Linked DNA regions of Mus musculus. The protein of the gene in region 7 purifies or fractionates together with the protein of the main gene of each other region. This does not show direct contact. Links are inferred from orthologs where the notes say so. Each region holds a gene or a part of one and is shown on either strand. Other genes may lie near its edges.

Region 1 (4,236 bases), on a different chromosome or scaffold from region 7:
CGTGGTGCCCTGGAGGGACCCCTGGGAACCATTTTATGTGGCTGGAGGAAAGGTGCCCACATTTGACGAACGCTTTCGGCAGTATGGTTTCAATCGAATCAGCCAGGTACTTAAAAGGGAGAGGGCATGTAGGACTAAGACTGGAGGCGTGTCAGGGGTGAAGTGGCCATTGGTGGAAAGGAGGCAGTGAAGCAAGAAGAAAGTGGTTGGATGATGGAGAATTGAGGACAGTGGAGTGGAACTTTAGGGATGATCATGTGGGCCCTGGGGATATCATTAAGTTATTGTGATTAAATCACTGTGACCTCTCCCTGTCTCTCTCCCTCTCTTCCCTCTCCCCTCCTCTATCTCTCCCTCCCCCCCCCCCGCCCCTTTTCCAGGCTTGTGAGCTGCACGTGGCAGGGTTTAATTTTGAGGTGCTGAACGAAGGTTTTCTGGTTCATAAGGGATTCAAGGAGGCATTGAAGTTCCATCCCCAAAAGGAGGCTGAAAACCAGCGCAATAAGATCCTTTACCGCCAGTTCAAACAGGAGTTGAAGGCTAGGTACCCCAACTCTCCCCACCGATGCTGAGTCCTTGTCTTCCATGGTCTGAGAATTGTCAGTATCTGGCTCCAGGCCTGACTGGGGTAAGAAACATGCCTCCACTTTACAGAGGTAGCTATGGGTTTGGAACACTGGACTTGACTATGGGGTGCTGGGAGTCAAGTCTCAGCTTTACCACTAACTAGCTGTGTGGCCTTGAGCAAATACTATTACTTCTCTGAGCCTCCGTTACGCCGTCTGTAAAAAGGGAGGTGAAAATACCTACCTCACAGAACTGTTGGCTCAGATGAGACGCTGTATGTGTAAACATCCTGTAAACTTCGTACAAATGTGAAGTATTATTAATATTGCTACAGTGTTATTATGATATTGTTACTATTAACCATGTTGGGTGGATAGCGGCAGAGCAAAAAGTTTGAATGGGCTAGAGGTGGGAAGCTTGAGTGTTTAATAAAATGAGGCTTTTGGAAAGAAAGATGAAAACGTAGAATGTAGTGCTAAGAACGTTTCCCGTTCTCTCATGCCTTCGCCCTCCGCCCTCCGAGATCCCTGAAGGAGGAAAGAGATAAAGGTTAAAGTCCCAGATCTGTGCCCTCCAGTAGGTTGGGCTGCTCATTTGCCTTCGGATGACATTATGTAAATAAACGAATGTCACACCCACAGCTGGCTCTGTTACTCTCCTAAGCCGAGGGGTGGTGGGCCGGAGCACCGTGTTAGACGGCGGTGGACCCAAGGACACCGACCACAATGCTAGGACAGGCTGAAGGCCTGGGTTACTGGGGGCCAGTTGCTATGGAGACCCGTCCGCCGTATCCCGGCATGCCTGGACACCAGTGGTTCCATTGTAAGCGCCACAAATGGGCGCCTCCTGATGACGCACACGGAAGCGTCGACACCTCCTGGAGAAAGAGAATCCTGCGCAGCACTGTTCCGGAGATCAACGGCGGCGGCGTTCACACCCTGGGTCGGACAGCTCTCCGGGAGTCCTGGACGTGAGGCCGGAGGCCCCAGTGTCTGCGGTGCGTATGGCCACGCCCGGCGCTGGGTTGGGCTTTCCGGATCGGAGCTAAAGCAGAGACTTAACCGGCCCGACTCGCGCGCTGGCCTGAGAGGAGCCCGCGGTTCCGAGGGTGGATCGAGGTGGGATAGTTCCTTGCGCCGCAGAGTTTGTCCTCTGTGTCTGTAGGGAGGGGTCTGCTTTCCCTGGAGGTTTGCTGTGGAGGTGCTTATACACCGCGCGTTTACCGTGTGCCTCTTCCACTCCCTACAACCCTCAGCAATGGTATATCCCCTATTTGTACCCGGGTTAAGGAGGGACGATTGGTTGTGACTTCATTTAACGAAGTCAGGATCAGAGTCAGCTGGAGGAAGGAGATCCTTGAATTCATCCTGCGTCTTAGAAAGAGTATATACAACGGTGAAAAGGAATTGCCAGTGTGGAGGGTCTGAGGCGTGAAAAGGGGAACAGTGAGGCTGTTTTGGAGATCTGGATTTTCAGAGCAGGAGGAAATGCTACTAAACTCTCCTGCAGGTCCGGCGCTATAATTACTTGCATGGGTGTGAAGGAGCGTTACTCCAAGTAGGGTTGCCAAGAAGGAAAAGCCAGTTTCTATACTGCAAAAGTTTATGTTGTTTAATTTGGGTTTAGAAATTCCCAGTCATCAAGTGAGCTGGCACTGCACTGGGCGAGTAGGACAGCCTGCTGCCCTGTCCTGATGAAACACCCACATTTCACTGGGTGGTCGGACATGAGACTGGGAGAATATGAGATAAAAAACAAAGAAACCTTTAATCCCAGCACTAGGGAGGCAGAGGCAGGCAGATTTCTGAGTTCGAGGCCAGCCTGGTCTACAGAGTGAGTTCCAGGACAGCCAGGGCTACACAGAGAAACCCTGTCTCGAAAAAAACAAAACAAAAAAAAACTTCCTGGGGGAAGGAGTTATGCCTTCCCCATGGGAAAGACTTACAGAGCAGCAACCAGAGATGTAGAAATCACACCAGTGTGAACTAGAAGCATCTACATCCAAGATGACCTATTCTCTCTGGGGGCCTGGCAGTATCAATCTCTCGTTGTCTCCTTCCTTCTGAAAATACCTTCCACCCTAACTCTTGGATTTTCAATCTGTTCTGCAGAGGTTTCTCCTCCTGCCTCCTTTGTTGACCTTGGGAATTCCAACAGAGGCCCCTTCTCACAGTTCCGCCTGAAAAGTCAGACTGCACAAAGCCTAAATAACTTGCCGTATGTAGCTAGAGGAGCCTGGGTCTAGTGGAAGTTCACATGCCTGTGTCCCTGGTCCCTTTTCTCACTTCTAGGTCTTTGTACTTGTTTTTCACTCTGCCTGGAATGTTCCATCTCAGGCGGCCTGGTCCTCACCTAGTCTGTCTCCCTCTGGAAGCTGTCACTGTAGCAGCAAGCTCCAGCTCCTGTGTAGACACCTCCCATAACACCTTAATTTGACTCTCTTCACACCATTATAAAGGTCTGCTTCTTTGCGTTTCTCCCAGAAATTTGTCATTTCCTCGAGGCCAAAGGCTGTCATAGCTATACTGTAGCATCTGCCACAGTCCACGGTGACTGTTGGTGCCTGGCACACTTTAGGTGCTTAGTAAATACTGGATAAGTAGGAAGAAAGGTAGGGGAGGGGCTTAGTGTTCACTGTTTCTGAAAGGTTACCTAAGGCAAGCACTGGCAAATGTTGGTGTTTGCTACAAGGAAATTGATTCGTAATTCTGCCGCAGTGGTTTTAGTGTGAGTGCTGGGTATCCAAACACTGAAAGAGGAGGAGGTGAAAGTCAGAATAGCAAGTGTGCGCAAGGCCCAGAGAACTACAGAAAATTAACTAAACGGGGCTGTTTCATATTTCTGCATTCATTCTTTTACCTACTCATTTGGATTTGACACAGCCTCACCAGCTATTGCTAGCCTGAAACTAACTGTATATCAGGCTGGGCTTGAATTTGTAGTAATCCCCCTGCCTCCTGAATGCTAAGATAACAGGCCTGTACCACCTCACTTGGCTTTATTTTTTTATTTGTGTTTGTTTTTTCCAGAGAGATCTAGTCTAGGTGCCTCTTCAGACAGCAATCTACCACTGACCTGTACCCCCAGACATACTGCTTTTGTGTCTTTTTAAGACAGAGCTTCGCTGTCTAACCCAGAATGGCCTCCTGCGTCAGCGTGTGGATTATGTATATGAACCTCATCAGGCTCTCTCTGCTTTTTAGTTTTTTTTTTCTCTCCAGTACTGGGAATTGAGACCTAGAATTGAATTCTAGAAACACCTCGAACTCAGAAATCCGCCTGCCTCTGCCTGTGCTGGGATTAAAGGCGTGCGCCACCACGCCCGGCCTTCTTTTCCTTTTTTTAAAAGATTTGTTTATTTTATGTAAATGAGAACACTGTAGCTGTCTTCAGACACACCAGAAGAGGGCATTGGATCCCATTACAGATGGTTGTGAGCTACCATGTGATTGCTGGGAATTGAACTCAGGGCCTCCGGAAGAGCAGTCAGTGTCCTCTTACCTGCTGAGCCGCCTCTCCAGCCCCTCCTGTTTTTCCTCAGGAAAACCCTGAGCTTCCGCATCTGAACTTCCACAGAGGAAGGTGCTTCCTGTTCACGTCCTTAGGAGTGCTAGGGGCTTAGGATATTGCTCAGTGGTAGTTGGGGCTCAGCATTTATGGGAATCTGAG
Region 2 (3,500 bases), on a different chromosome or scaffold from region 7:
CCTTCCTGCTTCGTCTCACACTGCATTGGGCCACAACCAGCACTGTCAATTTTTAATTTAATTTTAGCCATTTCTTTGGTATTGAGGCAACTAGATTGACTGTAGACATGCGCAACTCCTAAATTCCAGACAGCCCACAAAACTGCACACAGAACACAGAGAAGAAAGACTTTGTGGCTTATGTGGCTTAAGGACCTTTAAATGTATACCTTCAGTGAATGAATTTTGTTGAATTAGAAGTCAATATTTTTATTTTCAAACTAGTATTTTTCATTTGACTAAATGCTTTATTTTTTTCCTTCTGACATTTAAAAGGTACTCCGATCAACAAACCACCTGTTTTGGGCTATAAAGATCTCAATCTCTTCAAACTCTTTAGACTGGTCTATCATCAGGGGGGATGTGGCAATGTAAGTATACCGTTGCTTTAGAAGTATGTGTTTGTGCGTTGAGAAGTCTGGTTGCTTGATGCTGCACTGACGTAGGCATTTTCTTAAAGAACACAGAATGCTAGTGTAACAGTTATTTCCTTTGACAGTTGTTAACAAAATCTTAATCTTCCAGATTGACAGTGGTGCTGTATGGAAGCAAATTTATATGGACCTTGGCATTCCAATTTTGAATTCAGCTGCTTCCTACAATGTAAAAACTGCTTATAGAAAGTAAGTTGTCCAGCTTCATTAAAGAATAATTATTAGCAAGTAAAGTAGTTTGGGCAAAAGGATATATTGTATGGCAGACCTTACATAATACAGCTTCCTTGACAACAGTTTTTTTTGTTTGTTTGGTTGGTTGGTTTTGGTTTTGTTCTTTTTGTCTTTTTGTGGAGAGGTGGCAAGGGCAGAGGGCGGGTATGAGGGAATGGGGAGATGAGTGGGACTGGGGTGTATGAAGTGCAGTTTACAAAGAATCAATAAAAAGTTAAGCCAGGCAGTAATGAATGGCACAGGCCTTTAATTGCAGCTCTCAGGGAAGCAGAGGCAGGAGGATCTCTGAGTTTAAGATCCACGATGAGTTACAGGACAGCCAGGCCTACATCGAGAAACACTGTTGGCAGGCGGATTTCTGAGTTCGAGGCCAGCCTGGTCTACAGAGTGAGTCTCAGGACAGCCAGGGCTACACAGAGAAACCTGTCTTGAAAAGCTGAGAGAGAGAGAGAGAGAGAGAGAGAGAGAGAGAGAGAGAGAGAGAGAGAGAGAGAGAGAGAGAGACTGAGACTGTCTTGAACAGTACCCCTCCTGCCCCCAAATGATCATTTACAGGGAACAGCCTGTAATTTTAATTAACACTGCAAACAAGGGCCATAAATGTTAAAAGTTTAAGCTGGCAGTCACGTGGGGCTGAAAGGTTTCCTGAGTCATAGCCTACCATTCTCCACTTCCCATGTCATGCTGATTTCCTCTTAAAAGTCAGCGATGCAGGAGTGCACATCGTGTCCAGATCCAGCTCACCGGCTGCAGTTTTGGTTATGTGCATGTTCTAGAGCAGTGGCTCTCAACCTTCCTAACTCTCTGAGCCTTGAATACAGCTCCTCATGCCCTGGTGACCTCCAACCATGAGATTATTTTCCTTGGTACTTCATAACTGTAATTTTGCTGCTTTTATGAATCATAATGTAAATGTCTGGTATGCGTGATCTCTGATATGTGACCCCTGTGAAAGGGTGGTTTGGCACCCCCAGAGGGGTTGCGACCTACAAGTTGAGAACTGCCCTTCTAGAGCTTGAATACAGTTCCTCATGCCGTGGTGACCTCCAACCATGAGATTATTTTCCTTGGTACTTCATAACTGTAATTTTGCTGCTTTTATGAATCATAATGTAAATGTCTGGTATGCGTGATCTCTGATATGTGACCCCTGTGAAAGGGTGGTTTGGCACCCCCAGAGGGGTTGCGACCTACAAGTTGAGAACTGCCCTTCTAGAGCAGTGCTGTGGGAGGCTTATTAGTCTCTGGTTCTCAGGATAATATTTTAGTTGATGGTATTTTTTTGTTGATTGTATCAAAGGCATTTACTAACATACCAAGAATACTTTAAACATGGCTCAGGTTTTACTACACATTTACCTAATATTCACATTAAATGCAGAGACTAAGATTTCTTAAGATGAAATGTTGTGTGTTTAGATATCTCTATGGTTTTGAGGAGTACTGCCGTTCTGCAAATATTCAGTTCAGAACTATTCACCACCATGAACCAAAAGTAAAAGAGGAAAAAAAAGACTTTGAAGACTCAATGGACGAAGCTCTAAAAGAGGCCCCGGAAATGCCTTTGCTGGACGTGAAGAGTGAGCCCGAGGAGAATACGGACTCAAACAGTGAAAGCGACAGAGAAGACACAGAGCTAAAGTCGCCAAGAGTGAGTTCTTGTAGCTTTATCTGCTTCAAGCATTAGTTTGAACTTTTTGTGGGCATTTTAATGTATGTGCATACTATTTGTTTATGTTCCAGTATTTAGTAATATTGCTTCAAGGTTATTAGAGCAGTCTCTTTCTACAGACAGTGCTTATCAGTCCTACCTGCCAGCCTGTGCCACAGCCTGAAACCCTGTCCTAAACAACCAAACCAAACAGACAAAAACAGTAAACACACGCACGCACACACACACACACACAGACCTGCACACTCATCTTCTCTGTTACTGTCCGTTCAAGGCTCTGTTGTCTGGCTCAGTCCCGTGTACTCTTCTTGCTCAGATGTCTCCCCAGTGAAGCCTGCACTGGTTGCTGCCTTTCTAATTACTTCCTATCTCCTTTCTCGCTCCTCTTATCTGGGATGTACTTGCTCAGTCTGAATTGATTTGCTCTCTTTTCCTCCCTCTGTACTAAAGTTGCATCCCATGAAGGCAAGGCTGAGTGTTGGTTTTGCTCACTGATGAGATCCGAGGCTTCTAGAATAAAGACGCACAGCACCCAGAAAGCGCTCATTAGGTAGCTGAATGAATCACCTCTAGGTGATTCCTGTGCTCCCAAACTACCACGCTTCCTATCAATCTGTGTGCGTGCTGTACGGCTTTATCTCCGCATACATTGATTTGTATTTTCCCATCTACCTCGCCTCCGCCCCCTGTATTCCTCCTCATTGATTAAGGTTTTATGAAGGATTGCCATTCACTATCTGATCCATGCCCAATGAGCTCTACATAGCATGACTTATCATTTTATGGGTTGCCACACTGTCAAGAATTTCCGTTCTTTTTTTTTTTTTTTTTTTTAAGACATGGTCTGTCTATTATGTATCTCTAATTGTCCTAGACCATGCTGGCCTCAAAGTCACAGACATTTTCTTGCTTCTGCTCTCGAGTGTGGGGATTAAAGGCATGCACTACCGTGCCTGGCTTTCAGCTCCTATGTATCTTATGTGTTGGTGAGGCCATGTTTAATGGAAAGGAAAGGTGAATTCTTTATTTTTATCTTATGTGTGCCAGTGTACACCCGCCTGGATGTGCGTGCGTGCATCAGATGCATACCTGGAGCCCACAGAGGCCAGCGAAGAGCACCA
Region 3 (3,500 bases), on a different chromosome or scaffold from region 7:
AGAAAGAAAGAAAGAAAGAAAGAAAGAAAGAAAGAAAGAAAGAAAGAAAGGAGAGAAAGAAAGATCTCCATTGCTTTTATACCTATTCAAATATGGACTATTAAAATAAAGAGGGTTTGAGGCTGGTTCGGTGGTTAAAAGCACATGCTGTTCTTGCAAAAGACCCAGGTTAGATCCCCAGCACCCACATGGTAGCTCACAACTGTCTGGAACATCAGTTCAAGAGGATCCAATGCCCTCTTCCAGCTTCTGAGGGTACCAGGCACACATAGGTACACAGACACACACACATACATTCAGGCAAAACACACATACACATAAAATAATAAAGTACTTTTAAATCAAAATTAGGGGTCATTCTAGAACTTGTCCCCTTACTTGGCCCTGTCTCAGCCTTTTAAGCTATCTAAATCTTACAAAAAGTTATTCGCACAATTAGCATGATGCTCTTAAACACAATGAACACAACGTAAAGAAGCCACACTTATATTTCCCTCACATAGAAAATACTGCCTTAACATGTAGAAGCCAGTCCAGACAGTCAGAACTTAACTCTATAGCCCAATGTTCTAGCTGCACCATTTTAGCCTAAAGTTCTATGTGGTGTGATTACACTATAACCTCAGTTGTCTGGTGGCATGGTCACTCTCTAGCTCTCTAAGGAAACAGCACAGACAATGGCTGCAGCTCAGAGGTGCAGCACTTGCCTGCTGCCAATCATACACAGGACTCTAGAATCAGTTCCTAGCACTATAAATGTAAATAGATTTTTAAAAAGTAACAGTTGCAAACCTTCTGAAACTATCACACTTTCTTGTGTTCCTTTGAGTCCTGTTTCCAGTACAGCAACCAGTAGAACTGCACTTTTTAAATTCATCCAAGATATGAGCTAAAGTATTACTGAATTTTGCATTGCTTATTTTATTTACTTTTTAAGCCACTCTATTCAGAAAAGACTTGAAGAGCTACAATTAGCTTGAACGTTAAACAGAATGACAGTACCTCACAATGCTGTCGAGAAGCCTGGATTTCACATTCGTACTTGTTCTTCACAGACTCTAAGCAGAGTTCTCTATAGATTCCTGAAACCAAGCACAATCATTCTGCGGTTATCCTGGCAACAGTCAGTCATCACAACTTCCCTACAGTCTGCCGACACCACAGTTTATAAGATGACTCAATAAGAAAGTCACAAATGATTCTTACTCTATCCTAAAAAAAAAAGAAAGAAAACCAAAACATGTATCAAAGAAGAAGAAATTAAGAGTTCATGAGCTAAGAAACCATGGCTACTTTTTGATCTACCTCATATTCCCAAGAGACCTCCTAAATGTTCACTTGAGAATGAGCAAAACAAACAGCACAATCCTTTTCTCAGATTTCTAACAGAAAGGGAGACAGACAGAAATAACTCTTGGTTTCATCATTCACACATAATAGAAGCAAGAAATGGATACTTTATTCAGTCAAAATCACTGTATCCCAACTATCCTCTTCAGAGTCCAAGGCTTTGCAAGGAGCACTAACTATGTAAACGCACAGAACGAGGTGGATCACATTGAGTGTGCTCCCGAGAGGCAGATGCCCAAGTGCATCTTACAGGGGACAAGGCAGCATAGGGAGCGTGCCCATACACATGTGCCTCACAGACTTGGAGAGCAGTTACCTCTAGATGTGTAGACTCAACGCCAAGCCACAGGCAGCCTAGGGATGTAAGCCGTTGTCTGTTATGTCATGGCAGGTGGCAGCTACCTGAGCCTATGCCATGTATAACATATTCACCCATACAATGCCACAAAATCAAAAGTGTCACAAAGGACACAAAATGTCATCCATGCTCACCTGCTACCTTTGTGCGAATCTGCATGTTTTCTTGTAAGGTGGCCAGTGGTTCCAAATACTCTGGTGCTTTTCCAGCTATGACTTCTTGGAGTTTTGCATCCACCTGACTCAACCGCTCTTTATAAAGTCTCAACAAAGCAAAAATAAAGACGTCAATTAAAACTTTACAACAAAGTCAAGCAACTCCTGTGCATCACTGCTTCCTAACAGAGCTCATGTTCCAATAAACTAGCAGATGGATTCTTGCCCTGACTGCAGTCAGAAAACTCACTTATGTACATCATAATATTAAACAGATACCAGTCCAGGGTTTGTTAGTTTTTTTAATCGGCATCACTCTTTAGTCACAACAAAAAAAAAATGCAATGAAAATTCAGGCCCAGTGGCCTTCGTCTGTTGTCTAAAGCTACTTGGGCAGAGGGGAGGGAGGCAAGAAGATGGAGTGGACACAACGAGAACAATCTCAAGAAAATAAAAGTGAAAAAAAAAAAAGAACTTGAAATGACTACTTTGGCACTCCCAACTTTTATTTAATTGAACAATAATAAATCAATTCTAAAAGAAAAAGTTATTTAAATATTAGATTAAAAGAAACGAGAAAATCACTTCTAATAATTTGGTTGTTCACCATCTTACCTGAAAAGACACAGTACCGTATTTAACCTGTTTAATTTTTACTTGCTTCTTGTTTCCGGGATTTTGAGACAGATCTCACTATATTATCCAATCTAGTCTAAAACTCACTATGCAGTCCAGGTTAGTCTCCGACTCACGGAGGTCCTGCCTCAGCCTCCTGAGTGCTGAGATTACAAGTGAGAATAACCACCTTTAACTCCATCTCCAGGAAATCCAACTTCCGACCTCTATGGGCACCTGCGCTCTTGTGTGTACACACTCATCTCCAGTCAAACACCCGATCACACATAGACATAATTTAAAATTACTTAAAAACATAAAAAACACAAATCTGCTACCTATTTGCCAGAATGATACTGGATGAACTCTCAATGTTGCCCAAATGAACTCAAACTAATTTTAAAGTTAGCAATAGGGCTGGAGAGATAGCACAGTGGTGAAGAGCACTAACTGCTTTTTCAGAGGTCCTGAGTTCAATTCCCAGCAACCACATGGTGGCTCACAACTCTGTAATGGGATCTGATGCACTCTTCTGTTGTGCCTGAAGACAGCGACAGCGTACTCACATACATGAAATAAATGAATCTTTTTAAAAAAATTACCAATAGAAATCTTTTTTTTTTTAAGGGTCTTGCTCTGTGGTCTAGGTTGACCTAGAGTAGCCAACTCTTCTGCTTCTGCCTCTCAAGGGATGAAATTACAAACATGACACCAAATATGCTACAATAATGTTAACCTCTAGAATAAAAAAATATGTTTCAAAGTCAAAATTATAAACTTTATATTTTTAATGTTATACTAGCAGAAATAATACTCATATATTTATCTCTAACACCAATGAAAGTTTAGAGAAGAAGCAGCATAAGCAGAATTAATATAGTAAACAAATCCGTCCTTCTTGCCTGCTAATTCTACTGAATCTATTCTATCTCCTCTCAAACCTTGGAGGCCTTCAATGAGCATGATGGTGGGCACTTGCAATCCCAGAACTCAAGAAGCGGAGGCAGTAGAAGAATGTCACC
Region 4 (3,500 bases), on a different chromosome or scaffold from region 7:
GCATCATGCCTGCATGAATAACTGTGTAGTACAGGCACACAGGACATGTGGCGGTCAGGAGAGGGCACTGGAACCCCTGGAACTCAAGTTACAGATGGTTGTTAGCCATCATGTGGGTACTGAGAATGGACCTGGATCCTCTGAAAGAACAACTATTGCTCTTTAACTCCTGAGCCATCTCTTCTGAACCTGCATCTCCTTCTGACACAGCACAATTCTATTAGGACTGAGATTACAGAATTCCTTGAATAAAAATAAACAAGGTTCAAGTGTAGCTCAGCTACTAGAGTGCTTGCCTGGCATGAATAGGCCTTGGGTTTGATTGTCACTATGGAAGAAGGGGTGAGTGTGTGTGGTGGGGGGATAAGAGGGGGACTACCAGATGTATTTAGTAGTTGAAAGTTACCTGAAAAGGGAGACATTTATTTCCATGCATAAAATGTACATAAGCCTTTTTGGTGCTCACAAAGCTCTCTCTAAATTACAATCCTCCTCTATCTTAGCTAGCCTTTCTCAGCACTGTAGCCACCACTGTCGTCCTTGCTCCTGTTCATTCTCTACACCAGTTGTCTTGTCACTTTTCCATCAAACTTTTAATGCCCTGTTCTACACTTGCACCACTCAAAGGGCATCCTCCAAGCTTTGCAAAGAGAAGTAACTGAGCTTATGGAGCCCCTCAGTGTACGGCAGAGCGCACGGCTATGGTAGCGCACAGAAGCCAGACTGGCTGAGCATCCCTGACCCCAACATGCCTGGATTGGCTGGTGAATGAGGTGCTGTACTGCTGGCTGCGCCGTAGCAGCATTTGGCAGCTGTGAAGTTGGCCTCAGGACTGTAGTTACTTTAGAGCTGGACATCACAGCGGCAGCAGCTGCACCTGAAAAGACAAAACTGATCAGCATGGCTTATAGAAGCATTACTTAATAAAGCTAAGTATGCTCTCTAGGAAAGGCAGAACTGCCAAGCCTGGGCAGCATGTGGGTCTCCCGCTCCAGTACACTGCCTACACTTCTTATTTTATTATGAAGAAAAGTAAGAAAATGTGTATTCAAGGACTATGTGTTTTGTCTTTAAATTTGTTTATATGCATCTTAGGAGGTATGCCATTGATATGGTGTGCTGCTACAAGAGCAGCACAGTATGGTACCACTGCCTAGACTGTGTCTAAACCAGAAACACATTAGTCACTAGCAATGTGTCAGCTTCTCATGCTGCCTGTGTGGCCTTAGTGCCGATATCTACACTGTACAAAGGCAAATAGTGTCTTAGCAGTTCTATTAAGGTAGCCTGTGTGTGATTCCACAGACTCCTAAGAGTCAATGAATGACTGCTGGAGTTCCAGGCACAGCAGGGCTGCACTGCAAAACCATGTCACAAACACAACACAACACAAGCAGCCAGGGGTGGTGTTGTGTACCTGCAATCGGCATTTAGGAGGAAACTACAGGAGGAGCACAAGTATGAGACCAGCCAGGGTGACTTAGGAAGACGGCCTAAAAATGACAACAACAAACTCTCTTCCTTAGATGTGCACAGACGTGTTCTAATGTAACTGTAGGAGGCACATAACACATCATGTTGAAAGTTGGTACTGCTGTGGGTTCATCTCCACTGCCCTGTAACTTTAGGTTGACTGTGCAAAGTCGGTCATCCTGTCCTCCAGTCAGAGTCTGTCTGCTACTGTATTTGGAGCACAATGTGCAGTTTTTACCTCGAGGTAAGTGGGAAGCTCCAATGTGAAGTGGGGGCCCGGGAGCGTTGCTGCGGATTATGGACATCTGCACATTTGTGGTCATAATGTGATGCAGGTTACTGGGATGCCCCTGGAAGAAACAGCAGAGAAGACAATCTTCATGAGGATGGCCTTAGCTATTGCCTACAGAAAGTCAGTTTGCTTCAAACTGGGTCAGGCTGTTCTTGAAAACAACAACAACAACAACAACAACAACAACAACAAGAATTCCCCCTTCCTTTTTGCTGTTTGGGGGGATTTCCAGGGCAAATCATGTATAATTCAAGGGCTGTACACTGATGTGCAGTCTTGAGTCAGGTCATTCCTTTCGGACTCTGAGTATTGTCTACAGCTATACTACTCTACACATGCCCAATCTCCATTGGGAGTATCCCAGGGAAAGGGGCTCCATGAGCCTTTTCATCTGCTGTGTTTTAATAATGGCCCCTGTAAATGAGCAGGTCCGAAGTGAGCATACTCCAATAGCCCCAACAAGTTACCAGACCCCAGTGCCACATGAGACCTCCGACTATTTCTTTTTAGTAACTCGAATCTGCACCAATCTTTTACACTTGTTCTCCCTTTCCTGGTCACAGGCTTATTTACCCCACCACTCTATTTTTTTAAAAAATAGATCTTTATATCCATTATTCTTTATGCTACTTAAGATTTCTGAATACATGTCAGTTAACGCCTCTAATGGCTTCAGCTCATCCCCTAAGCTTTCCAGCACTCTGATATAAGTACATCGCAGATGACATTGCCAGACTTCTGGCAATTACTTGGCATGATTAGAGAACAAGACGGGGCATGTTTTTTTAATATTAATTTTTCTTGAAAACACAAAGGAAAAGAATTTTGAGATTTAGTTTCTTCACAAGTGTTATAATTCAAAGTATTTAATAAATCAACTATACATAATGGAATACAATTAAAATTTCAAGTTAAAACTGGAGCCTTTACTGTAAATGCTCACAATTAGAGGGCAGAGAGAACCTGCTACACATCTACTATCCTCCAAGAAAACCTAGGATGCTTCCAGGTTTTCTGAGGTTGAGGTAGTCTCGCCTCCTCAGAACCGTCTCCCTCTAGTCAAGCACATGTCGACTGTAACCCTTCTAGGACAAAGACTGCTCATGGCTCTCTGTGATTTTACACTGAAGGTCGTATGGTAGCTGGCATAGGATGTGCTCAGCAGATACAGCCTAACCACTAAGCAGCCTGGGTGTTACTCCTTTTGATTTCAGCACTATTATCTCCCTATGGGTATCTGCAACCACTCAATTATTCAGGACACGGCCTAATGCACTTAGAAAACGAACAAGTCAGGAGGAGAGAATAACCTGTTGTCCACTGATTGTTGCCACGGGAATGGCTGAAGCTTGAGGGATGCTGCTCTCCATGGTAACAGTAACCTGCCCGGGAACTTTCGGGGGAAGTGACATGGTAGAAGGGGGAGCAGGCGCAATGGGACGGCTAGGCATGGTAGGCTTCGGGGGCGGCTGCAAATAGAAAACCACAGGACACATGTCAATAGCTTTGCTCTAGCCGTGCATCTTACTTTAACAGCACACAAGTCCAGTCTGCAGAGTGACATACAAAATGAGACGGGTAGCATAAGGCTCACCTGTCGGCATAGCTCTTCTGCAAAACTACTGGTGTTTTATAGTATAGAGGACGAAATGTACAAACGAGCTAAACATTTTACTCAGAGACACACAGTACAAAGCAGACCCGGGAATAAAGCCTGGATCTGTACTGCTCACAC
Region 5 (3,500 bases), on a different chromosome or scaffold from region 7:
AGGGACAGGAGGGAGGCAGAGCACACCCCAGTTCTCTGTGGAGTGCCCCATGCCATGCCCTACTATTCACTCTTAAGACTTCCTCATTGCTGCCTGCCAGGGTCTAACTCCTAGGTCCGTGTAATCTGGCAAGAGGCGCCCTGAAATTCTAGCATAAACCCATCCCACTCCCATCTGCTCCTTGGTACTATCACTAGACCAGGCTACACCACAGAAGGGCTCTGTGTGAGCACAGCATCAAGAGCTTGGAGAACATGTCTGCTGGGAGCCCTCACTGGCAGTACTCTTTGGACTGGCTGAGTACCCGCAGAGGGGTCCCCTGTCTCCTGATTGAGGGTGAAGGCAAGCACTCAAAGGGCCCACTAGAGAGGGTGAGAGGGAGACAGGCTTAGTGCAGCCCAAGAACCCCCATTGTGGGACCACGACCTGAAGTCAGAGTCTCAAGGAAGAGACCAGAAGAAACTCTAGCTCTGTCTCTGTTTCTACTGCCTGTAGTTCTGGATCACTGCAAAAATCACTGTCTCTGAGCAGTTGGAGTCTGTGGGGTAAGCCAGGTTGGTGATGTAGAGTGCACTCTGGGATTACATAGGGCCCCACAGTTTGTCAAAGCCTACTTTTATTTGATAAAGCCCCTTCTGCTGATGCAGGATGAGTCTCTGCTAGCAAGAACCTGCCCATAGGAGTGCTGACTGACAGGGGCAAGACTCAGCTCCCGAGTCTAACCAATGGCTTCAGTGTGGCCAGGCCAGGGACTCTCCAGGCCTGCTCTGAGCCTTCCCCTCAGCAGTCTTAGAAAGGAACTGCAAATAGGGCAAGGGCTGGGTACCCCTGGCCGTAAGCATTCCTGAACAGCTTCCAGAGCTGACTGTGCTCTAGGCTTCTCTGCGCCGTGGCCTTAGTGGGAGCCAACCTTCCTGTCCTGGCCAGCAGGAGCCAAGGGCTGGAAACATCACTTGCAGATCAAACCTGGTAGGGATGTAAGGAGGTCTCGAGTACCTAGAAGTTTCTTACTGTCCAGTTTCTGTCTGTTGAGAGGATTTGTGCCGTAGAGGAGTGTGTGGGCCTCCGAGTGCACTGTCTGCAGCTCCTCCAATGTGGCCTTGCGTCCACGGATGCACTGTGGGACACAAGGGGAGAACATGTTTCTGTGTCAGCTCTATCTACCATGACAAGGCCACTGCCCCAGAGGGATGCAACCTGAATATGGGGATAGGCACATCATTACTGACTTTCTGAAAAGTGGAAAACAAAACAGCACATAACATCACATTTCAAAATATTGTAGATGGCTTATATTTTAATCATAGCTTTGAAAAACATTTAAAAAGAGAATTCTGCTTTTTAACATGACCCCCTTTACTGTCACACAATAATTTTCAATAAATTATTACTTTGTTTTCTAAAACCAAGGTCTGGGCTTAAAAATAGCAGGAAGTATCTAAAGTGAGGGAACTGCCTGAGCTCCTTCTCGAGGGGCCTCAAGCCACTGCTCTACTATCCCCTCAACACTAGCCCTTTGTGGGACACTTTGAACATGGTGACACACTGTGCTCTGTGCTGCACTAGGAGCTGGCTACTGTGCTCTTGTGCCTCCACACAGGCAGTAAGGACTGAGGAGATGTGGCTACCCTGCTTTTATCTATTGTGTTCTTACCCCTGCCTGGCTCCACCTGCTTTCTTGGCTGAGAATATGCCTCACAGTTTCTGCCTGCGTGTACTTTCCTGGGAGGGGACAAGAAATTGATGAATGCTGAAAACTGAAGGCTGCCTCAGGGCAACATCTGGACACACAGAATGGTTAGTTCATCCTGCAAGGCCAGCTCAACAAAGAGGAGATTTTTCTCACGACTTGTGTACACTGGTCAATGCTGCCCCCCAGTGGCATAGCATTCTGGACAGACTTCCAAAGCAGGTGCCTGTGGCCTCACCGCACCCCTGTTCATCATCTTCTATCCAGAGGGACTTCAGAAGCAGGTGTGGGCCTGATACTGAGACATCCTCAAAAGTGAGGTACAATACGGGTGGTAAGGGAGTCAAGGGCTATGTGAGCCCTGGGCTAAATCTAAACTCTGAATTCTCCAGTGCATAAGGGAAGGCAGGTGAGCCCACTGAGAGAAAACAGAAATTACTGCTGTTCCATGAGGTATTTACTGGCCTTTGAGGTTCCTTGTGCCCTAACCTATACTGATGTGCAGGACTGAAGGGATTTTTCTAGCTGAGGAGAAGACACAATAGGTTCCTGTGGCAGGTACTGCAGGCAATCCTAGGAGGTAGGTGATGCCAGCCTTAGGGCACAGGGAAAGGAACGAAGGCTCACCCGAGGCTAACAGCTCCCAGGCACAGGACCCTGGTCTCTGTCTCTGCCCTACCCAAATTCATCCTTTCTCCTCAGAGCTTAGGACTCCTGAGTACACAGGGCCTGGGAATGCATACCTGCTGTGTCATGACACAGGAACCCAGAGAGGCCTGACATGATCTTGGACAGAGCCCTTTTCTATGTGACCTGCTCTGCTGTGGCCAGGTATGGGGTGAACACTACACCCACTGGCAGGTAGGCCAGCCCTGCTGAGGGCAAGCATGGCACCTGGGGAAACTGAGTACCAATACCCAGAGTGACAACCCAATGTCTGCCACACAGCTCCTTGGGTAGAGACACTGGCATAAAGGAACCAGAGGCAAAGCTAACCAGGCTGAGGGGTACTTTCTATACTGGCTACTGCCTCACAGAACTTTCCTTCTGAGGAGGAAAAGGTCCAGAGTTCTCCGCATATCCCCAGAGCACCTTTCTGATACGTACAACAGGAGAACACGGGCTCATGAAGCCGACAGGGCTGGTGGGACATGTGGGCTGGTCTTCACTCTGGGTCTTGGATCCTTCCCTCACTTCATAAGCATGGATGTACACACTGGTCAGCCACAGGGAGCAGCTGAGAAGTAGCTAGGAAGAAGGCAGGGACAGCCAAGGGGAGTCGGCCTGGCATGTGGGTTTGAGAACAGAGCAGAGTGGAGCATCTTCTGTAGAAGACACCGAATCTTAAGGAAGCAGGTAATGTGCCCTCAAGAGCTCATGGAGAAGAGGCTAGACACCCAATATGGTAGTGCTGGCACTGCAGATCTGGCAGAAGGTGACTGGGAAATGAGGACTTCACTCTTAGAAGTTATTATGGCTCAGACCTGTATGCCTAAACTAGTTCTCAAATGAACAGGCTGTCACAGGGAAAAGCCAGCTCACACAGCAAGCTGTCTCCTTTCTGCTTCTCTGTTACATTGTGGCTTAGTCAGGGGATTCTCATTAGATGTTGGTACTCTGTTTTTGACCCTCTAGCTACTAAAACTGTGAGGTGGTAAACAGACCTCTTTGCCTTATAAAGTATAAGCCTCAGGTATTCTATCACAGCAATAGAAAAGGAACCAAGACAGGCTTCTCAAAAGGCCACAGACAGAATGGATGGAGATGAGAATACATAGGCAATGTTTCCTGAACCCTCTCCCTTACTACA
Region 6 (4,103 bases), on a different chromosome or scaffold from region 7:
CGGAAGAAGAGATCTACCAGAAGGGTGCCTGGAATGTTCTTGAGGGTAGAGGCCATGAGGAGGATTCGGGCCAGGCGGCCTTGGCTGGCTGGGTACCAGGGCTCCAAGACTTCACACAGTGCCCAGTGAGCCTCCTGTTGCAGGTGTGCGATGTGGCAGGAGGCACGGAGGCCTGGCACATCTGTGGCAGAGAAGGTGAAGAGAGCTGCTAAGTGGCTAGGTCTGTGGAGGCTAGCACAGGGTGTGAGGGTGTCAGCAGTTCCCTCCCCTCTAGCACTGAGGCGATCCTTCACTAATGAGTTACATGCATTGGCTCACTCTACCACCTTGGAGCGTCCACCCACTGCCACCTTCATTATTTACCATTTTATCCATCCATCCATCCATCCATCCATCCACTTATAGAGAGGACACAGATAATGAGGATATCATAACTAAGACACATGGGCTGGAGAGAAGGCTCAGTGGCTAAGAGGTTCTTTTGCTCAGAACCTGGGTTCAGCTCCCAGCACCCACATCGTGGTTTACAACTCCCTATAACTTCAGTTCCAGAGGATCTGACACCCTCTTCTGACATCTTTGTGACATCTTCCACACAGATGATGCATACAAAATACAAGTATGTGTGTATGTATGTGTGCATGTATGTAGGAACTCATAGACATAAAATAATTTACAAAGAATTTTTTTCTCGTTCTTTTTTTAAAATGATTTTTAAAAAAGATTTATTTATTCATTATATGTAAGTACACTGTAGCTGTCTTCAGACATCCCAGAAGAGGGCATCAGGTCCCATTACAGATGATTGTGAGCCACCATGTGGTTGCTGGGAATTGAACTCAGGACCTCTGGAAGAGCAATTAATGCTCTTAACCGCTGAGTCATCTCTTCAGCCCTATTTTTCCTCTTCTTTTTCTTTTCTTTTCTTTTCTTTTCTTTTCTTTTCTTTTCTTTTCTTTTCTTTTCTTTCCTTCCTTTCCTTTCCCTTTCTTTCTTTCTTTCTTTCTTTCTTTCTTTCTTTCTTTCTTTCTTTCTTTCTTTCTTTCTTTCTTTCTTTCTTTCTTTCTTCTTTTCTTTTCTTTTCTTTCTTTTTTTTGAGACAGAGTTTCTCTGTGTAGCCCTGTCTGTCCTGGAACTAGTTCTCTGGCTGGCCTTGAACTCAGAGATCTGAGTGCCTCTGCCTACCAATGCTGGAATTAAAGGTATGTGTTATCATCACTTGGCTAAATAAATCTTAAAACCAAAAACCAAGCCAAACTAAAATAAAACAAAGCAAAAACTCAGACAAAACAAAACAAAAAACAACCAAGCAACCAACAAACAAAACCAGCACCAAGCTGCCTGGGTTTGAACGTCGGGGCTGCCCCTTATTAGCTGAGTGACCTTGGATATGCAGTTTAATCTTTCTGAGTGACCTTTGTTAAATGAGTACTTTAATCTTTGTGCTTCCGTTTCTTCATCTGTCCAGTGGGGCTAATGACAGCGCCTGTTACCCACACTTGTTATGAGGTTTAACCAAACTGATATTTTAAAAAGCCCTTTGAGTGAGTCCTACCATATGGTGAATGCAACGGGGCTATGGGACTGCTACTGCTATGTGACATGTTTTAACTATCAAGGCCTGTCTCTTGTCTTCCTCAAAGCTATGAGGACTATTCTCCCATCCCAGGCCAACTTGGTCTATATAGTGAGTTCTAGGCTACCCAGAGCGACATGGTGAGACTCTCTCTCAGTTCTCCCCATCACTCCACCTCTCTTCTCCTGGCTTGACTTCACAAGGAGTGCCCCACTCCCAAACCCTCTTTCTCCTTCTGAGTGGCCTCTCTGAACCCTTTAGAGCCTCACTATGTAGCCTGACCCTGAAGATATGGCTATCATGCAGCTGTGTCTGCTGCCACCCCCTCTGGCACCCTCTCTACCCACCCACTCTCCCTAAGATTCAAGCCACATTTCTCAGGCACGGTGGCAAAGAGCAGTCTCTGCACTAGCTTGGCCTGCCTTCTGCCTTCCCAGCCCTCCTCTGCCTCTGCCTTGCTATGTGGCCTTCGGATAGTTGCTTAACCTCTTTGTGCCTCTCCTATGAGCCATCTATTTGAGGCTCACAAGGACCCAATGATACAATGGGTGTCAAGCCCCAAGAAAGCACTTTCCTTGGATGGGCCCCATCCCCTCCCACCTTGACCACCATCCAGGAGTGTCTGGAAGCTCACCTGGGTTGAAGAGGATCGTGCCCTTCAGGTACGCATACTCCTTGGGACCCAGCTCAAGGCTCCAGAAAGACTCCAGGCAGCGCTGCAGCCACTGAACTGCAGCCAGTGAGGGTTGTGGCCGGTCTGATGGCTGGGCACCCTGGGTACCGCTGCTGGCTTCCTCTAGCAGGATCTTCTTAAGTATACTGGGCACCGGAGCCTCAGCCACCTCGAAGGTCACAGCATCCTGGGCCAACCCCAGCAGGAAGAGAGGGCCCCAGCAGCACTCTAGCAGCCGCCGCTGATCCTCATGGGGCAGGTGGCAGAAGGACGGCAGGTTCCTGAGGAAGGCTACTGTCTTGGCTAGGACATCCAAGGCCTCCCTGCAGGTGCGGTGCGGAGCACACAGACGCACAGGCCGCTGCTGCTGGCACAGGCAGTGGCTGTGAGATGCAGGTGCAACGGGCCTGGTCCTGGGGCTGGGGCTCAGAAGTGCATACAGAATAGTCGGACGACCTGCAGAGCCCTGGCATGGGCAGACCCCTGACTGGCCGGAGCTCATGGTTAGTATCTTGTTCCTGTTTCTTCCCAGCTATCTGGCCCTCTCTCTCTCTCTCTCTACTGTGAGTGCTATTTATATCCTTGATGGGCGGGAAGGGGACTGGCCAAACAACCTTGACTCCAGAAGTCATGTTCATTGAAAGGAAAAAAAAAAAAAAAACCATACACACACACAATGCATACACGCTGACCCTGGCAGGACTGATGGGGAAGTGGTGGGGGAGGGGCACTGGAAGCTCCACGTGGCCTTGCTATCACTTTAGTCAATGAAGTGGCCATTGCAGGGCACAGGGCCACCTGCCCACTGCCTGGATGCCCTTTATCGGATGACTCAAGTGCATAAACAGGGTCATTAACCCAGGCTGTACCAGGGCACCAAGGTCTCAGGCGCTCAACCAGCCAGTGCCTGGGACTGCTGTTTCTATTGATGCCCATTTCCATGCACATAAGACCAGGGTTCTCACTGAGCCAAGGAGCCAGCCAGGAAGCTGGCTAAAGCCTTGAATACATGACCCAGCCTGGAAGTGGCTTATCGCTGCTGTGTTTGCCTAACCTTGGGGCTCTCTACTGTTGTTGGTAAGGAACGGGCCACAGGGAAGGGAGCCAGGTCCCTGGGGGACTTTGCTCACTGTACAGTCTCGGAGGCCGCCCTTCTGGGACTCCAATCCAGGGGCCTCTGTGGGAGGAAGATCATTCAGAGCCCCTTCCCCCAAGTCAGCATTCCTATAGCGTCAGAGAGGCTGGGTCTGCCCTTGCAAAACCGTGGGAATACATGGTCGACATTTACTAAGGACCCTGCTTTGTTGTGGGTCCCTTTCCATTGTAACCCTGAAGACTTTCCAATGAGACTACATTCTTACTCTGTGACACTCCAAGAAGTGAAGTGACCTACTCAAAGTCACTCCAACGGGAAGGGATGGAGCACAGGTGTGTCGGACCTCAAAGTAATCTTTGTTTGTCCCCTTGGATCAATTCTGCAGCCAAAGTGTGAGTTTCTCAGAACTGGTGGCTAACAGGCACCCCGCCCCCCCCCCAACCTGGTCTGCAAGTATGGCCCACCTACAGTATGGGTAGAACCACATCTCTGCTAGCACATGGCTCCTCTGTCCTGGACATTTGTCTCTAGTGGTCAGAGGTAAGGGACAAAGGACATGGGAGGGCCTCAGTTGTGTCTGGTTCCTGACCTTGGCTAGCCTTGCCTAGCAGGCTCCCTGTTGCCACAGTCTTGGGCAACCTGGTGCTGTGGATAAAGAGGTCTGGCATCCTCTGCCCTGGCACCTGGTTTAGGCTCCATGCTTCCCAGTTCTAGTGTGTGACTGTCAGCTTGTCTCCAGTGGTCAGGGAGCCTTTATC
Region 7 (4,116 bases):
AAGAAAAAACTTCCTTATGCACACGACTTAAGGCCTGAATTTAAAAGTATTAACAGTTTATTTTTCAAAGCTGTATTTCTGTTATTTTTCACTGTGTGTATGGATGTGGGGGTGTGCACCCGTGTCTGTGTCCTAGAGGCCGGAGGTGTCAGTACTTGGAGCCTGAGATACAGGTTGACATGGTTGCTGAAAACTGAACTCAGGTTTTCTTAGAGTAATACTCACTCTTCACCACTTAGTCTGCTTAGCCTCCTAAATGCTAGTATGCAAAAATAACAAACGTATACTGATGGATAGGAGAAAAAAAACAAGCAAAAACAAGGTTCTTGAAATTTCAAAGCCTAGGACTTGTGACTCCAGTACACAACCTATTATACACATTCTATAAACATAAGAATTATGCTCAGCAGTGGTGGCACATGCCTTTAATCCTAGTGTTTGGGGGGCAGAGGCAAGCAGGTCTCTTAGTCTGAGTCCAGCCTAGACTACAGGGTGAACTCTAGGACACCCAGGGCTAAACTTTGTTTCAAAAACAAGAAAAAAAAAAAAAGGTATGAATTAAGTCATCTGATTTTCCAAACTGTACTTCAATTGGTAAAATTAACTATGGGTTGGTCAAACTTTCCTCAAAGCCAAAGAATTCTCTTCTAGCGTTTTAAGTGTACTCCATCTGTAGTACATCCAAGTCCTTATCTTTTGGGCTCCACCTCCATTCTGTTACCATGGCTGGTGTCACTTCTTTAGCTGAAAAGTGAATATTTAACCTCTTCATTAAGTACAGCACAGGGCACAGTTTTCAGCCTCTACTGAACAAAGAACAAATCCAGAATTTAGCTTCAGAAATTACACATGACTATGAGATTAGAGAGATGGCTCAGTGCAGACTGCTCCTGTAAAAGGACCTAAGTTGGGTTCCATGTCAGGTGGCTCAGAACCACCTGTTATCTCCACCTACAGGAGATCTAACATCCTATTCTGCCCCCCCCCACACACACACACTTTAACATAAATCTTTTTTAAAAGTGGTTTACACATACTCAGATATCAATACATAAATTAAGAATTCGATGTTCACTTTTCATGAAGTTCTCGAGTAAGATCATCTAATATGGTTACATGTGCAGTAAACCAACAATGGCCAAAGTAACTCTCTAACACAGGCCGGTAAGCTATGCTACACATAGGTTTCATACAGTTCAACCTACTTAGTATCTAAAAAGAGCAACATGAAGCTTTAAGGACTAGAAGTTACATAAAACCAAAAGAGAACACAAAATTCTAAGTTACCTTTGTGAAACTAAGCTTATGTAACAAAACCTTCTGTAGGTGAAATCAGTCAAGAAATCAGAGTATTTTACTTAAAGAGAGTTAAATCTTTGACTTAAAAAAAAAAAATTTAGCCTTGGGGTATAGCCTAGCGGTGAAGCAATGCTTATGTGCCCTAAACTCACTCCATCACTTACAATCATAAATTCAATACTTTCTCTAGAAATAAAATCTCAGATTTGTTAGGAGCTCAAATGGTAAACTGAGTTTAAAGTCCTAAGCTACCAAAAATGGTAGCAATTTTTAGGTATCAACCCGTAAAGGCGCAGTAGCTGAACATCAAGGGAACTCCAGGGAAGGTTGGCGCCCTCCACAATTCCAGTCCCTGATCACTCTGCCCCTCCCCCACCGGCCACTGTCGGGGAAGCAAGGGCACAGCACCAGCCGCACCCCACCGCAGACACTCCAGAGAGGACGCTGAGTATCTCGTCCCAATAATTACAACGAAGAGGAGCAGCTGACCACGCTTCTACTCTCCCTAGCTGTTAAGGCGCCATCCATGGTGTGTGAAGCAAAGTAGAAGACTACAGCTACGGGCCACGATGCCCCAAGCAGAATGGATGAAGAAGCCACAGCATAAAGTCCGGACACCTCCACCGTTCCCAGTCTACAAGGGGCCCTCCCACCCACGGGGATGCTGGGAGGAGCAGACACGGAGCCCTGACCCCCTGCCAGACGCCACAGCGGGCTTTCCCCAGCTCCTCTTCACTGCTAAGGAGGCGGAAATCCCGGAGGGGGCGGGGCGGGAGGGGCGTGGCATCACAGCCCCGGACGCGCCTTCCGGCCAACCGGATCCCGCTAAGGCGGGGGAACACAGGCTTCACGCCCCCTCGCCACCGCGCCCTGAAAGCCACACGCCGGGACCCTCTTCCCGTCCCGCACGCCCCGCGGACCCAAAGCAGTTCAGCCAGTGGTCCCGCCCATAAGGGAGAAGGGGCGGGGTCACAGCCGCGGGCCTTTAGCGCGAGCCCGTCCCGCCCCTTTCTCCACCACCGCACGCGCGCCGGCCCCGCCTCTGATCGGCGGGACTAGGACCCGCCCCTCCGTGCGCACCGGGACTACGCTCTCCTCCCCCTCCCGCACTGAGTGCGGCTCCGCTCCGCCCCCCACAGCCACGCACGGGAAGCCGAGGTCAGCCCCCCCGAAAAACACACGCCCTCCAGTCCCGGGTTACCCGCCACCCAGCTGCTGGGCGGACCGCGGTGCGGCGTGCTCTCACCGCAAAAGCTCCAGCCACTCAGCCTGTGCGTCGCTCCCGGCGTGAGCCTCGCACCCAGCACGGAGGCCCCGGAACGGCGCGGGCACAGGCCCGCAAGAGCGGACTGGCAACCTCCTTTGCGCCCACGAAGCGGTCACAGGCCTGGGTGCCCAGACTGGGAAGGAGGGAGGGAGGGAGGGAAACTCTAAGGGGGGAAGGGGAGGGGGGAAGATGGAGAAACCGTCTCTGCCGCCTCTACCGCCGCGGCCGCTTCTCTGTTACCCGGGAAATCCCGCCCACTCTCCCGGCCCGCCCCGCCGAGGGAAGGCTTAACCTCGCTCCGCCACGGGATATATTACCCATCCGTCAATGGTTTAGCCAATCACTATGCCGCAAAGACCTACTCCCGCCCTCTTCCCTCGCTGGGAGGGGAGAGCGAGCCGCTCACCTTCTCCACGCCCCTATTGGCGGGGAGAGTCCCTAACTCAACCCCGCCTATTGGAGACTGATTGCCGAATCCCTCCTCCGGGCTCTAATACTATTGGAGGAAGAGGAGTACCTCTTCACATCTCATTGGAGAGTCTCACATATCCCTCCCCATACCGCCCCAGCCACAGGCCTAACAAATCGGCTCCCGCCTCCGCCGGTCCCTGCATTGGAAGACTACCTTTGCTTCTCTCATAGCCCCAGGAAGGTAAGTAACCAATGTGGGGTAAAAATGTCCTTAAGTGAGGCCGACTCCACCCACTACACGGCTGGGCCAGGCCCCGCCCCCAATGATCTGATTGGACTATCTTGGCGCCGGTAGGAGCCGCCATTGGACACGGCGCCGGTCCAGGAAGGAGACCATTCCGCCCTGCGCGAGGATGCTGAACCTTAGCAGTCCTTTTGTGGAATGTTTACACTGGAGACTGAACCTCAGCGTTCCAAGGCCGGGATCGGAGATGGCGGGGAGCTCAGCGGCCGAAACCCGAGGCTTTGAGATTTGAAAAGGAAAAGGCAGTAGTATTACCCGCCGTGGAGAATTAACCAAAACAATGACAGAAAGCCTTGTCCTTCCTACCCACTTATTTTTACACTTTCACGGTCTTCTAAACACAGCCATCTGGAGCACTCAGCAGCTACTTTCAGCAAGCCGACTCCAAAATTAAGGTCTGGAGCTCTAATCTGATCCAAAAGCCCAGATATTACTAGCTGGTCACTAGGGCTGACTGAATACTGTGACACTGGGACAACCAGAATCTGCAGCCCTCAGGGGGCGGAGATAACCCAGCGGAGGCCTTTAAATGTCACCGCCTGGGCAAGCCTCCGGAAGGCGGAGCATGAAGGGAAAATGTATACTCTATTGGTCGGGTAGATCCAGGGACATTTTAAACTGGAGGAAGAGAGGCTGAAAACCTCACACAGACCACTGCATAAATAAACCTTGAGTGTGCACTTACGTTCACAGAAGGAGTAAAAATTCCAGATTGTGTGAAGGATATGGTCTTAAGAATGACTGTTCAAGGGGAAGGGCTGTAATCGCAACCATTCGCGAAAGGGCAGGAATAGTCTGAATTTAGGAACCCTAAGGCCAGCCCTTCAAAAAAAAG

Evidence for each region.
Region 1: the proteins of Sin3a (region 7) and Brms1 purify together in Homo sapiens (affinity purification with western blotting; 4 studies listed by BioGRID and IntAct, with this or other methods). This does not show direct contact. The link is inferred for Mus musculus from reciprocal best matches to the Homo sapiens genes SIN3A and BRMS1.
Region 2: the proteins of Sin3a (region 7) and Arid4a purify together in Homo sapiens (affinity purification with western blotting; 6 studies listed by BioGRID and IntAct, with this or other methods). This does not show direct contact. The link is inferred for Mus musculus from reciprocal best matches to the Homo sapiens genes SIN3A and ARID4A.
Region 3: the proteins of Sin3a (region 7) and Brms1l purify together in Homo sapiens (affinity purification with mass spectrometry; 3 studies listed by BioGRID, with this or other methods). This does not show direct contact. The link is inferred for Mus musculus from reciprocal best matches to the Homo sapiens genes SIN3A and BRMS1L.
Region 4: the proteins of Sin3a (region 7) and Sap130 purify together in Homo sapiens (affinity purification with mass spectrometry; 4 studies listed by BioGRID, with this or other methods). This does not show direct contact. The link is inferred for Mus musculus from reciprocal best matches to the Homo sapiens genes SIN3A and SAP130.
Region 5: the proteins of Sin3a (region 7) and Hdac4 purify together in Homo sapiens (affinity purification with western blotting; 3 studies listed by BioGRID and IntAct, with this or other methods). This does not show direct contact. The link is inferred for Mus musculus from reciprocal best matches to the Homo sapiens genes SIN3A and HDAC4.
Region 6: the proteins of Sin3a (region 7) and Nr0b2 purify together in Homo sapiens (affinity purification with western blotting; 3 studies listed by BioGRID). This does not show direct contact. The link is inferred for Mus musculus from reciprocal best matches to the Homo sapiens genes SIN3A and NR0B2.

Annotation. Positions count from the first base shown.
Region 1 is NC_000085.6:5,039,927-5,044,162, forward strand, and holds the start of Brms1 (breast cancer metastasis-suppressor 1 homolog), read left to right. Parts: upstream 1-1,436; 5' UTR 1,437-1,564; exon of another isoform or gene 1,565-1,685; intron 1,686-4,236. Other genes in the region: B4gat1 (beta-1,4-glucuronyltransferase 1), read left to right, coding at 1-106, 381-572. UniProt on the Homo sapiens protein: Transcriptional repressor. Down-regulates transcription activation by NF-kappa-B by promoting the deacetylation of RELA at 'Lys-310'. Promotes HDAC1 binding to promoter regions.
Region 2 is NC_000078.6:71,060,967-71,064,466, forward strand, and holds part of Arid4a (AT-rich interactive domain-containing protein 4A), read left to right. Parts: intron 1-315; coding exon 316-410; intron 411-564; coding exon 565-662; intron 663-2,126; coding exon 2,127-2,358; intron 2,359-3,500.
Region 3 is NC_000078.6:55,842,866-55,846,365, reverse strand, and holds part of Brms1l (breast cancer metastasis-suppressor 1-like protein), read right to left. Parts: intron 1,971-3,500; coding exon 1,843-1,970; intron 1,083-1,842; coding exon 1,003-1,082; intron 1-1,002. UniProt on the Homo sapiens protein: Involved in the histone deacetylase (HDAC1)-dependent transcriptional repression activity. When overexpressed in lung cancer cell line that lacks p53/TP53 expression, inhibits cell growth.
Region 4 is NC_000084.6:31,647,868-31,651,367, reverse strand, and holds part of Sap130 (histone deacetylase complex subunit SAP130), read right to left. Parts: intron 3,235-3,500; coding exon 3,076-3,234; intron 1,824-3,075; coding exon 1,712-1,823; intron 878-1,711; coding exon 753-877; intron 1-752. UniProt on the Homo sapiens protein: Acts as a transcriptional repressor. May function in the assembly and/or enzymatic activity of the mSin3A corepressor complex or in mediating interactions between the complex and other regulatory complexes.
Region 5 is NC_000067.6:91,967,342-91,970,841, forward strand, and holds part of Hdac4 (histone deacetylase 4), read right to left. Parts: intron 1,118-3,500; coding exon 1,012-1,117; coding exon of another isoform or gene 997-1,011; intron 1-996. UniProt on the Homo sapiens protein: Responsible for the deacetylation of lysine residues on the N-terminal part of the core histones (H2A, H2B, H3 and H4).
Region 6 is NC_000070.6:133,552,073-133,556,175, reverse strand, and holds the start of Nr0b2 (nuclear receptor subfamily 0 group B member 2), read right to left. Parts: upstream 2,801-4,103; 5' UTR 2,752-2,800; coding exon 2,211-2,751; intron 182-2,210; coding exon 1-181. UniProt on the Homo sapiens protein: Transcriptional regulator that acts as a negative regulator of receptor-dependent signaling pathways. Specifically inhibits transactivation of the nuclear receptor with which it interacts.
Region 7 is NC_000075.6:57,075,060-57,079,175, reverse strand, and holds the start of Sin3a (paired amphipathic helix protein Sin3a), read right to left. Parts: upstream 2,801-4,116; 5' UTR 2,546-2,800; intron 1-2,545. UniProt on the Homo sapiens protein: Acts as a transcriptional repressor. Corepressor for REST. Interacts with MXI1 to repress MYC responsive genes and antagonize MYC oncogenic activities. Also interacts with MXD1-MAX heterodimers to repress transcription by tethering SIN3A to DNA.